2 linked regions of the Caenorhabditis elegans genome follow. The protein of the gene in region 2 purifies or fractionates together with the protein of the main gene of each other region. This does not show direct contact. Each region holds a gene or a part of one and is shown on either strand. Other genes may lie near its edges. The genes, in order: enpl-1 and sec-3.

What was found.
Region 1: the proteins of sec-3 (region 2) and enpl-1 fractionate together in Caenorhabditis elegans (co-fractionation; one large-scale study listed by BioGRID). This does not show direct contact.

Annotation. Positions count from the first base shown.
Region 1 is NC_003282.8:11,117,457-11,123,683, reverse strand, and holds enpl-1 (Endoplasmin homolog), read right to left. Parts: upstream 4,387-6,227; 5' UTR 4,234-4,386; coding exon 4,188-4,233; intron 3,971-4,187; coding exon 3,901-3,970; intron 3,053-3,900; coding exon 2,035-3,052; intron 1,961-2,034; coding exon 1,385-1,960; intron 1,319-1,384; coding exon 746-1,318; 3' UTR 529-745; downstream 1-528. Other genes in the region: Meiotic recombination protein spo-11, read left to right, coding at 1-70, 117-525; imp-2 (Intramembrane protease 2), read left to right, coding at 4,821-4,889, 5,011-5,820, 6,101-6,227. UniProt on the Caenorhabditis elegans protein: Molecular chaperone that functions in the processing and transport of secreted proteins.
Region 2 is NC_003284.9:3,094,904-3,101,534, forward strand, and holds sec-3 (Exocyst complex component 1), read right to left. Parts: upstream 4,950-6,631; 5' UTR 4,935-4,949; coding exon 4,805-4,934; intron 4,759-4,804; coding exon 4,631-4,758; intron 4,204-4,630; coding exon 4,105-4,203; intron 4,054-4,104; coding exon 3,676-4,053; intron 3,627-3,675; coding exon 3,454-3,626; intron 3,407-3,453; coding exon 3,235-3,406; intron 3,161-3,234; exon of another isoform or gene 3,025-3,160; intron 2,926-3,024; coding exon 2,679-2,925; intron 2,633-2,678; coding exon 2,278-2,632; intron 2,229-2,277; coding exon 2,102-2,228; intron 2,054-2,101; coding exon 1,792-2,053; intron 1,744-1,791; coding exon 1,619-1,743; intron 1,168-1,618; coding exon 1,069-1,167; intron 1,020-1,068; coding exon 768-1,019; 3' UTR 525-767; downstream 1-524. Other genes in the region: ztf-13 (C2H2-type domain-containing protein), read right to left, coding at 5,578-5,706, 6,178-6,295, 6,342-6,496, 6,548-6,631.

The sequences.
Region 1 (6,227 bases), on a different chromosome or scaffold from region 2:
ACAAATATGGACCTACGAAAGAATTTGCCGAAGGCCGAGGAGCCTTTGTTCCAACGATTGAATGGATCGGGTAAGACGATTTTATATTTATTTTCATAATTTCAACAAATTTCCAGTCTTTTCCCAACTGATTTTCATCGTTTCACCATCGATCAATCACAATGTCTTCCATTGGTTCGAACTGATTTTGTGAAAATTGAGAAGATGATTCCTCGATCGATTCAACTCGGAGAAATAGTGGTGACACGAGAATTAGACTGGATGATTCAGAATAAATTTAAAATGGAACTTGAATCAATAAATATGTGCGGACAGGAGTATATGGCTCGATTCTTGATTGCTCCGAGAGTCATGTCGATAGAAAAAGAAATTCCGATTCAACCAGAGACGATTATAAACGAGTACCACGAAGATTCACAATGTTCGCTGTCGACAGATGATGATCGGGAAGCAAAAGACGATGACTATATAGATTCGGATGCTGAAGAAAAGTTCCAGAATATGATAGATAATGATAGTGATTGAAAATAATATGAAACAGATTTTATTTTAGTTTCAAATGCAATATATTGCAATTACAACCACAAAAGGGGAAAGGAACCGTAAAGTGTTCGAGAAGTACTGAGACTGAGAAGTGGGGGGAGAAACAACATTAAATAAATAGAAAACAACACAAGTTATCTTATCTTATCACAATATCATCGAGTGCATAAAGCTAATGGAATGGGGAGATGTTTTACATTGTTTAGAGCTCAGAGTGCTCCTCCTCAATCGTTGTTTCTTCAGCGGCTTCTGGCTCTGGTTCAGCCTCTTCAATATGCTGTTCGGTTTCAACTTGAGCATCTTGGGAAACATCGAGCGATTGGCGAAGGACAGCTTCGATTCTATCAGCAAAACCAACTTGATCTTGAAGTGAGAATCCAGAACGAAGAGTGGCAGTTTCGAAGAGAAGCTTGGCAGTAGAAGCAGCGGTGGTATCTTCTTCAGAAGCAGTGACTCTCTTGAGAAGCTCCTTGATAACTGGATGGCGTGGGTTAATCTCGAATGTCTTTTTCTGAGTAGCATAGAAGTCTTGAGTTGGATCCTTTGCCTTAGCATAAGCTTGCGACTTCATAATGCGCTCCATGTTTCCAGACCATCCGTAGGAAGAGGCAACAAGGGCAGATGGTGATTTGACAAGACGTTGAGAAACAACTGCTTTCTCGATCAGATCCTTGAGTGCAGTTTCCTTGAGCCAGTCAGTAAGTGGCTTGAACTCCTCTTCAAGACCCTTGTGGGCTTCCTTGGCCTTCTCTCCATCATCGATGGTAACTCCTTCCTGAAAAATAGCATGTTGATAGGTAAAACATCATAGCCACTAAAGAAAAAAGCCTTCAATACTCACCTTAGCCACATTTTGGAACTTCTTTGATTCATATTCTGGCATAGCTTGAATACAGTACTCATCAACAGCTTCGGTGAGGAACAAAACTTCGTATCCCTTAGCGATGAGTCTCTCTACGAATGGAGAAGTTTCAACTTCCTTTCTGGAAGTTCCAGCCATGTAGTAAATGGCGTCTTGCTTTTCTTTCATTCTTTCGACATAGGCGGCAAGAGTAGTTGTTTTGTCAGCATCATTAGAAGACTGGAAGCGGAGAAGTTTAGCAAGACGCATACGGTTGGATGGATCCTCCATAACTCCCAACTTGATATTGGTAGAGAACTCGCTCCAGAAGTCATCGAATTGGGCTCCGTCGAGTTTCTTGAGCATGTCGAGCACTTTACGGACAAGTTTCTTCTTGATAACCTTGAGAAGTTTGTGCTGTTGGAGGTTTTCACGGGAGACATTGAGTGGGAGATCATCTGAATCAACGATACCGCGAATGAAGGAAAGATACTTTGGAAGCATATCGGCAAAATCGTCAGTGATGAAGACACGACGAACGTACAATTTGATGTTTTCGATAACTTTTCCGTAGTTCTGAAATAACATTATTAGTTGAAAATAACTAAACGCAATTAAAACAAATGCTATATAACTTTCAATATTCTTACCTGGAACATGTCATTTGGAGACTTCTTTGGAACGTAGAGGATAGATCTGAAGGAAACTTCTCCTTCAGCACTGAAATGCACGTGACTCAGTGGCTCTTCCGAATCCTTGGTGATACTCTTGTAGAATTGCTTGTATTCGTCTTCTTCGACCTGATTTGGTTTGCGCATCCAAATAGGTTTAACGTTGTTGACCTTCTCCCAATCCCAGGTGGTCTTCTCAACCTTCTTGGTTTTCTTTTCTTCCTTCTCTTCTTCAACAGCTCCGTCTTCAGTGGTGGCTGGTTCCTCTTCAACTGCTTCTTCCACCATTTCAGTTTTGGATTGCCAGAGGAAAATGTCAAAGTTGATGAATTGGGAATACTTGTGCACCAAGTTCTTGAGGGTATCTGGCTCCAAGAAATCTGCTGCCTCCTCCTTGAGGTACAATGTAATCTGAGTTCCGCGCTTCAATGTGTTTCCACGTGGGTCTTTGCTGATGGTGAAGCTAGCTGAATCAGATTCCCAAATGTACTGATCATCATCGTTGTTCTTGGTGGTTACGACAACACGGTCGGCAACAAGGAAGGCAGCGTAGAATCCGACTCCGAATTGTCCAATAAGATCTTGTTGCTGGTCAGAAGAAGTGGCAGTGTCCATAAGTTTGGATAAGAATTCTGAAGTTCCAGAGCGTGCAATAGTTCCCAAATTGTTGATCAAATCTTGACGAGTCATACCAACTCCTGTGTCGGTAATGTGAAGAAGGCGGTTTTCACGATCAGCCTTGATTTTAACAGACATCTCTTCAGTCTCACGGAGTTGCTCTGGATCGGTGAGGGAAAGAAGACGAATTTTGTCGAGAGCATCGGAAGCATTAGAAATAAGCTCACGGAGGAAAATCTCCTTATTTCTGTAGAGAGAGTTGATAATAAGTTTCATCATTCGGTTTACTTCGGCTTGGAATTCGTGTTTCTCGGCTTTTGAGCGGAGCTCCTTGATCTGGGAGACAGATAGTCCATCGAGCTTGATCGAATCTTCCTCTCTGAAAATATTATTTATCAATTTCAATTTTTTTTGTTAACTAGTTATATTTTTAAATTGTTTTAAACTGTATTGTGTTTTAATTGTACAGTTTTGATCTTTAATTTTCCAAAATTTTATCAGAAACCCTAGAAAATAATGCGTTCACTTCTAATCCGTGTATGGCATCCCTAATACTACACCTTCCATTAGCAGAAGATTAAATCTTGTGATTCGTATCTCCGTCCTTGACAGGCTATTACGTGAATCTAGGAAAGCATACGTTAAATTATCTAGGTCGGAGATAACCCTTTTAGTCTCTCTTGACCCTTCAGCCGATTTTTCTTATTTGAGAAAAAGGAAACACAAACAAGATAAGATAACCTAGCAGTAGATCGAGTCTGTTTGCATTCCGACAAAGGGCAAGACTCAATCAAATAGTGCTCCGCGGGAGTACAAAATAGTGTGCAAAACGGATGAGAGTCACCAAGTGGACTGACGCGACCTGGTACCGTTCAAAAGTTTTGGCTGAGGCCGGGGGTAGACAAATATTGAGATAGTTCAGAGTAACCAGGAAAAGGAACAGACACGTAGTGACAGGTCAATTTATTTGGAAAGTGGAAGAAAATGTGATTTATCTTTTTGGAACACTTAATCCAGCTAAAACTGTAACTATTCAATATTAAGAGCGAAAAACGAATTCGAAAGATATTTCTGATATATTAGATCTAATTAAAAATTAACAAGGTTATTGATTCTGATTTCGACATATTCACGAAATTGTTCAAAAAATGTACGAAACACAATTCAAAATTCTCTAGACTTTTTCAAATTGCAATTTTTCATAATAATCAAATTATCAAAAATTACCTTGTTTCTTCTTTGGTTTCCTTTGGTGCGTCTTCGATTTCATCTTCGGCGTAGACATTTGGAATGAAGGCTGAAAAGTGATGATTGTTGGGAATAAAAACGTGAATTCAAAAACTGCGTGGCGTGTATGCACAGAATGAAAAAATAAAGCCTAATGTTTTTATTCTGTGAACACAGTTTTAATATTTTCAGCGTACATTTAAGCTTAAAAATTTTTTTTACAATTTCAAAACTACGGTTTTCTATTTAAAGCTCACTAAGCTCTGAAAATCAATAAAAAGACATACCTGAAACAGCCAGAAGGGCGACGAAGCCCACCAAAAGGAATCTCATCGCCGTCTCTTCCTAACGACCGAGAATAAATGGAATGAGGTGTCTTTCCAACGGTCAATTACTCCCCTTTTCTCTCCGCTTGTTTGCTTTCTTTCGCCGGGGCTCACCCCTTCTCGACGTGTCCCTAAAAGTCCCGCCCCAATTTGCAAGTGCCGCACAGTGTCTGCGTCTCTTGCAAACACGTTGTCCTTCACTGAAAACTGCAAACTGCGGCGCGTTACTAGTTGCAAACAGAGGCGGAATCAGCCAATCAACGACCGAGACGACAGCTCAGAACACGTGGAGTGAGTGTCCTGGAACATTGTTTTTGTTTGCCGGATCCAGCAATATGGAATATGTTAATTTAAAAGACGATTTTTCAGTCTTTCTATTATAACAGTCACTCAAGTAATGTTCGGATCATCTAAATTAATCCTTATAGAAATTAATCATCTCACTTGTCTTGAGAATTTGTGAAATTTGTGATCGTTACTCAGCAAACTTACTTGTTTATCCGTCTCATAAACCGGTTTCTCATCTCAATCAGGCAATATACCTCCATTTCTTAATCTCAGTTTTTCCAGTTGGGAATTCAAACCTTTCGCGACATGGCTGAAGCAGCGACCGAAATCCCGCCGACGGCTAGCAATGTCACAGTTTTTACATTCGAAGAACAGGTGAGATTTTTACTGAAATTTTGTAAAATAAATGAAGTGGACAAGTATAAAATTACAACGAAGTTTTTATTAAATGTGATAAATAGCCATGCGAACTTTTTTAAATCAATTTTTCATTCAGGCTACAAGCTCGTTGGCGCTTTACGGAATGTCTATCCTCTGCATCATCATTGGATCGATTCGTTCAGCTCAATACATAAGGACGAATATTGACAAGAAGCGACTTATTGAAGGTTCGATCACTATGAGAGAAGCCAGGAAATTCCCTATTTCTGCTTCTCTGGTTCTCTTCGGTCTCTACCTCTTCTTCAAGCCTGCCGCCGAACGCTTCCTTTGGGTTGCCAGAGTCTTCCAAATTCTGCGAGTTCCCGAAGAATATGTCCAGAAGATCAATAGCACTATTATCAGCTATACCGCTAATACTACGACTACTGGGCCTTCCGAGCCATTCTTGCTCCGCTTGGCGTCAAGGATACCTCAAGAACGCGTTCCAGAAGCAATTCAAAATGCGGCTACATACGCTTATACCAACTTACCAACAATTCAAAAAGCAGAATGTATGCAACTCTTGACTTTCCTCATCTGTTTCGAAGGAGTCAACGCTTTCGCGTCTCTGTTGAAGCCATTTGTTACCGCGTTTCTCAAAAAGATGCCACTGGTTCCATCCTTCTTAAGATTCAATGCTCCGTACTTATTCTCTCTCAAAAAGGGAAATAAGGAAATGGAAGAGGGTGATATCGAAGATGCGAAGAAAAAGGAAACGGAATATCTTTTCAAAATTGACTTTGATCGTTACGATATCATCGCTTTATTGATGTGCTCTCCAATTCTCATTTCTCACCTGCTGAAAAGACACTGGATCACCAATAATATTATCGGAGTGAGCTTCTCAATCTTGGGAATCGAACGTCTTCATTTGGCCAGTTTCAAGGTAAATTTAACAATTATTAAAAAATATAGCAATATTTTTGTAATAAGACAAAAAAGCTACAATTACGCTTACTGAATGGAAGAATAATTTCAATTGACCAGATAGTAATAATATATTTTTGAACTAACTTGAAATATTTGGACAAAGTAAATAGTTCTCAATTTTGGCCTAAAGCTGTTTAAAAGAAACTTTTAAATATCAAACCGTTATTTGCAAAAATAGGTTTTAAAAAAATTTCATTGAAAAGACTAATTAATATCATTATTAATTTTTTTTACAGGCTGGATCCCTTCTTCTCGTTGGTCTCTTTTTCTATGACATCTTCTGGGTTTTCGGAACAGACGTGATGACATCTGTCGCAAAAGGAATTGATGCTCCGATTTTGCTCCAATTCCCTCAAGATATCT
Region 2 (6,631 bases):
ATTTTACTTTTTCTACGTTACCATGTTTAGTGGTTAGATCGGTTTATAATTCTCTTATAAACCTTCACAGTTACCTCTTAAAATGTTAAATTTTGTTCTGAAGTTTTCCAAAATAGATTGCGGCCTATCAATTTTACCTTTAAATCGAGTGATGAAAAAAAATGCGCTGTTAAAACAATTCTTACATGAAATAGTTTTAAATAAGATATAAGTACAGGGTGGTCCATAATTATGGACCACCCTGTATAAATGAGTCAAAAAATGTATATAAGAGTAAAATGTAAAACATAAAGTGAGATATAAACGGAATAACATTATAGAAGTTGTTTTTATTAGATTTAAATCGTGTTACACCCCTTTTTTATTAAAAGTTGCCAAAGTGTGTTCTTCAGAAAACACACCATTTGCATGTCAGATTCTTAAGTTGACCAGTTCAATGCAAACATTCAGTCAAAATTTCTACAAATGTGTAACCAAGAAGTCAGTTCCGTGAAATTTTTGTGAGCATTTGAAAATACGTGAAATAAAAGTCACCAAGCAAGACATTTATTTTTCAAAAAAGCAAGCATTACTACTATTTTCGAATGGGGAACACCCGTAAATTTATATTACAGACATCAGTAATGTAACGAAGTTCACCTATTACAGAATAGATAAATAAATATATTACAAAGCATGGTTCAGTAAGTATTAGAGTTCTGATAAATTAAAACTAAATTTTAAATGAATTAAAACAACAAAATTCAATAAAATTATTCGTCGTAATATTAGTGTTGTTGAGCAATTTCTGAGAAGAACTGAAGTACAGTGTCAGTGGAAACTTCGAGCTCAATCTTCGAGCCTGGGTAACAAGTGAGAATCAGTTTGTTGTATTCCGCAATTTGCTTGACAAATTGCTCTTGCATATCTCTCCATACAACTTGCAAAAGTGATGAATTGGCAACCAGGTTCTTCTCAATTTTCTTGTACAGTTGCTCGAGTCCTTTTTTCACTTCTTTTCCCGGATGTTGTGAAATTACCTGGAAAATTTATGAAATGGCGATTTTGATGATTAACTAGAAATTCAACCTTTTTAAGCTCAATGCGACTGAATTGTTGTTGATACGAGATTTCATCAGGACGAATTCCACGCGTTTCGATAAAGTTGTTGACATTGTCGAAGAACGTCTGAAATTTTTGGAATACATATCGATAGTTTTGGGAGATTTTTGTTTAAAGGTGGAGTACCGAAATTCGAATGAGATGTTTTGAAAATTCCTCAAAAAAAGTTATGGAGGTTCAAAGTCGGAAAAAAGGTTTTGCAGCTAAAATCACAATTTTTACAACTTCTCGGTGTCGCAGCGTCTGGAACTTAATTTTTATTTATTGATCACTCTTTAATAAATTTGTTGGTCTTTTATTGGGCGTATATGCGCTGAATTGTTGGGTCTAAAATAGCAAAGCCTCAAATTTTGGTACTCCAACTTTAAACTATGGTAGAGTGCCTTTTTTTACAAATGTTGTAGAATGACAAGCCAAAATTAGAAAGAAAAAACTAGTTTAAAGCATAATAGTCAAGTTTTTTTTCAAGCATTGGCAGCACAGTATTGAAACATAAATTTCCATATTTATATATCACCTGAATCTCTTTGAGTGGACGACCCATAAACTCTTTTACGTACGCATCAATATGTTCTTCCTTGAGCGCTTTCGCATCTTTTCGTTGTTGATCCAAACATGAGATTTTTAGCTCCGACAAAGTCACTGAAACATTTATCACCATCACACTTTATTGTTTCCTAGAACACTTACAATAGAGCTCGTGGTAATTTTCAAACTTGACTACAGACGACGGAGACTTGCTGTATTGATTGGCGGCAGCTTTTTGTATCCCGTCACAAACCGCCCGGCAAAGATTGAAATATGCCTTCTCCAAGTCAGTTCTTCTCTCGGCATTTTCAAAGATAATTTCAGCACGTCTCACAAAGTTTGCAAAGCGAAAAATTGATGGGAGAATTCCGATTCTAGTCTTTTTAGCAATGCGAACTTCCGAGTACTGGGAACATTCCATTTGCTGGAAGAGAAGATTATTGCAATTACAGTACATATAAATGGAACTCACAATAAATGCATCAAACTGGCGTTTTATCAGAACAACTAAACTTCCAAATGTGATCGAAAAATAGGAGCTTGGGTCTTGTGGTAGAAGCACTTTCTTCGACATGATTACAAACAAAAGGAGAACATTGCTAAAATGTGTAGGAATTTAAAATAATATGTACGTGTACCTTTTCTCACCTAGGATTGTGCCTACAAACCGCCCGACAGAAACTATCAAGATGAATATTGAGCGAGTCAAACAAGTTGCCCATAACGTGTCTCACTTGCTCGTTCATATGTTTCTCCATACTACGTCCTCCGAGACTTGAGCTATCACCGCTTCCAGTTGAAGTCGTATCGAACTGAGCCAACAGCTCCGAGTTGATGTGGAAGAAGCGGACAACGAACTTTTGCTCTGCGTCAATCACAGCGCTCAGTTCTGCCAGCACCGTTTCGATGAGTTGCGGTAAGACTTCAGTATCAATTTCACTGGAGGTGCTCAGGAAACTCTGGTTGTCAGAACGAAGTGAAATGTTTGCAGATTCATTTGCTTCTGAAATCAGATGATTATTTTTTGCTGCAAATATTAGCAAACATACTTGACTTCTTTTCAGAACTGTTAGCTTTTGGAACTTTGTTGATCAGTGTCTCAAAGAAATTGTCAAATAGACGTTTGTAAAGTAGATTCGTGCTGTCGATATACTTTTGCAAGACTAAATTGCAAGCCTTTGGACGGTTCGTTTTCAGCCAGTTGATAAGATCAGAGAGTGGAGAAAGGGCGCGAAAGCGTTGAGACTGTTTTGGAATACACAGTTCATGCCACTCATGATCCAAAGATAAGTCGTTCTGAAAAAAAAACACGCGTTGAAAATGATTTTATACAGTGCGCGCGCTTGCTACAGGATTCTTCTAAAATTTATAATAGATGTATTGAAAAAACTCCACATTTTAACGTGAATCTATTGTGAAATTATGGTATGTGATGTAAAAAAAGCTTCGCATGCGCTGTAAAATATCTGAAATTCGAGAATTTTGGTTGAAATTTTCAAAAAATTCAGAGGGTCCTTTAGCGAGAGCGTGACCTCCGGAATTCTCTAATACTTCTACAATTTAGGGGGTCCTCGAGCAAGCAAGCACACGTTCATTGAAACTTACCAAATTCGAGAACAGTGCAGAGAGGTGAGACATGAGCCTATCGACAAAGACATCCACTGCGGTAAGCTCATCATTTCTGTCCTGATAGGCTTTCATTTGAAGCATTGGCTTAGAAATCCTCCCGTGCCAGAATTGTGCAACAGCGCGTGCAGCGTCCGTGCATCTTTGAACACTGAAGTATCATAATATTACTTGAAAACTCTAAGTTGTTCACTCTACCTTTCTGGGTTACTGAAGTTAGCTTGTTTCAGAGTCTCAATGTGGGAATCAGTAACAGCCTGCAACGAATTGACAAATGAAACGATTTCCTCGTTGAGACGTTGCTTGTTCTTTCTTTCAACCACCGATAAACTATCTTTCTCTTCGATCAATTCGATACTGTTCCTCACAAACTGAAAATAGTTGATTAAAATTTCAATAAATTCCTTTACAATGTAGTACCGCCAAAATGTCATCACAACGATCAAGCTCTTTTTCGACCGACTCAACACCGGTCAATGCTGCATCAATACTCGAAAGCAACTGGTTTACGGAATTCTCACTGTCCATCATAGAGTTGATGTTGGCTCCATCGAGAGATTGCAATTGCTCCGTCAGCATTTCGGCAAAAATATGTGCTTCACCAATAGTCAAATTAGCTCGCGCAATCAACTTTCGAAAGTCTGCGTCCTCCTTGTTGGATATTGGCTGATAATCACTTTGCATCGCCATATCATGCTCAGGAAGCTCAATGGGTATAATGGAGGTTTCTGATTCAAGTTGCGGTAGAGAGAAATTGCAGAAATCTGGCATCTGGACTGGAAGGTATTGGCATGACAACTAAAATACGAAATTTTCAGTAAAAAAGTTGAAAGTATTATAGTTGGATACCTTGTAGAGTTCTCGAATGAACTCGTCCTTTTCCTCAGCGGAACCAGCCAAAATCACATATTGATGATCACCGATAGTGATGTGGAACTCTGGTGATGCCTGAATTTTTTTAATGTTTGTCAGTTGAATAAAATTCTCAATTTTTTTTAAACCCAAAAAAACTTGAAGTAAATGCGAATTTAACTAATTGATAAGCCATTTTGTCAAAATAATTCCTGCAATTTGCATCATCTTTTCGACAAATTTAGTGTACAATAACTATTCTTTCAACAACTTCTCACCTAACTTTAGCTAATTGCAATTTTTACAATTGATAAAGATCGTTGAAAAGTTGCGGCAAAATGGCGAATTTTTAGCTATTTTAGGTTGATAAACTCCATCAAACATTAGTGTTCGTAAAACTTGAAAATCCTCAGTTATTCGAGAAGCTTCACATTTTTTGCGTTATGTTCTTCGTTACGCTCACATTTGCTCACTACATATATCGTATAAATTGCGTGAATCCATATAATTTTCAAATACTCACTTTTTTCGGATTTATTCCGTCGATTTCTCTGACTTCTCTCAAATTGAACCTGTCCTTCTTTTTGAATGTATCATCTTTCTCCCCTTTCACAAAGTATAAACGGACGGCGATGGGGTGCTCGATTGTGACTGCAAGTTATCGATTTTTATACAGGACAATTCCAAGAATTCTTACCTGCTAAACATAGTAGTGTCTGGTTTTTCTTCTTTTTTCCATCCAACTTTGAGACATTGACTATTGCTTGAATTCTTTCATCGTCTTTCTGGAAAAGTTGCCGCTGGATTATCTTCCTGATTGCAGACATTCAAATCTGAAATTGAAAATTTATATAATCACATTGATTAAGTAGAATAATAAAAATTTTAAACTTAAACCAAGCATTAAAAAAGAAAACAATAAAATCAGGGAATTGGAAACAGTTATGCCCAGTAAAAACATACGGAGTTATTCTGCGTCTCTGCAGTTTTCTGTGGTGACTAGTACACGAAAAACACGCCAGTGGCCGGTTAGCGTGCGCGTTTCTCGATGAACACCACTATTTATATTGCAATGCAGGGAAGCAAAAATAATTTTATTTGGTTTTATTTTTACACTTGCAAAAGATATAGTAATAGAATTGAAACGAATTGATTGACCTGAAAAGATTTATTTTTGGCAATTATTTAAATAGAACACGATTCCTAAAACGGACCGTAAAAAAATGACAATTGAAAGTTTTCAATTAGGAGAATCTGCAAAAGTAAAAAAGAAAGAAACAATAAATAATATTACACGGATCAGAAAAAAAACAACAGAGAGTTTGAAAAGGTCGTGGTTTTGATTTGGAAGTGACTTGAGGCATAAGTTAAAAGTAGAAAAAAAGTAACAGAAAACTTAAGTGAGACAAAAGAAAATGATTAATGACATGTAGCTATATTAAATCGGGGGTAAGTTTCAAAATGAGATTATCACTGAACAGCGTTTCTGACTGGATACATGGTGTAGTTGGTAGTAATCAAAGTGCGACGCAGCGGAAGTGGGCCTGCAGGTGGAAGTGTGTAGTTGCGGTTACGAATTGAAGTCGGGATTTTGATGATCTGATTTATTTATTAGTTTTTACAGTAAATTGTATTATCGCCCCTTTAAATTTTTTTTTATAAAACAAATGTGGACATATGTATATTTCAATACATTTTGTTACATTTCGCGACATTACTTGATTAGCCCCATTAGTAATTATTGTATTCTAAAGAAAAAACACACAAAATATGCTGGACAATCCGAATTTGGAAGTATTTTAAATCTTGGTAACTACTGAAACTTGTCCTATTAGACCTGCTAGCTTATATCTCGGTTGTCTTAAATTGTACCAAAAATAGTACAATGTCAATATGTTGAAAATTATTTTACGTAATTACGCAGTTAAAATGTTTTGATAAAATTAAAGAAAATCGAGATATTAGCTGTCAGCGTGAAGCAATCGGTGAGCAAGTCTAATAGTGATAATACAATATGTAGTAGTACCTTCTGACATGACAAGTAACTTAATGCATTTATCAAAATCTTACCGCTCGACCCTTTGAGTACGGAGCAGATCGCACAGTGTACTGCGGCTGACTTGCCGCCATTTTAGAGACGACTTCTCCAAGACTTTTTCCAGGTGGAACCGGTCGAGACGATTTTTTGCTAAAACGAAAAATATTGTTAAAAACCTAAATTTGGTAGTTCTTACAATTTGACTTGGGGCGGCATTGTGCTGAAAGTCAGTGTCTTAAAAACGGTCGCCGAGGGGACGTAGCTTTCCGAAGGCGAACGTTTTATGAATTTCCCGTAAATAAATGTATTTTTCATGCTCGACACAAAATCATCGTGATCTGCAGACTCCAGCTGAAAAAATAGTTCTGCTTTAAAAACTGCAAATTTAGAACTCTATCTAACCGTTGCCAATAAGTCGCTTTTAGCCTGATTGTAAACCACTAAGCCAATGCTACCCGACATAACTGCCTGCAGTTCACACTTTGC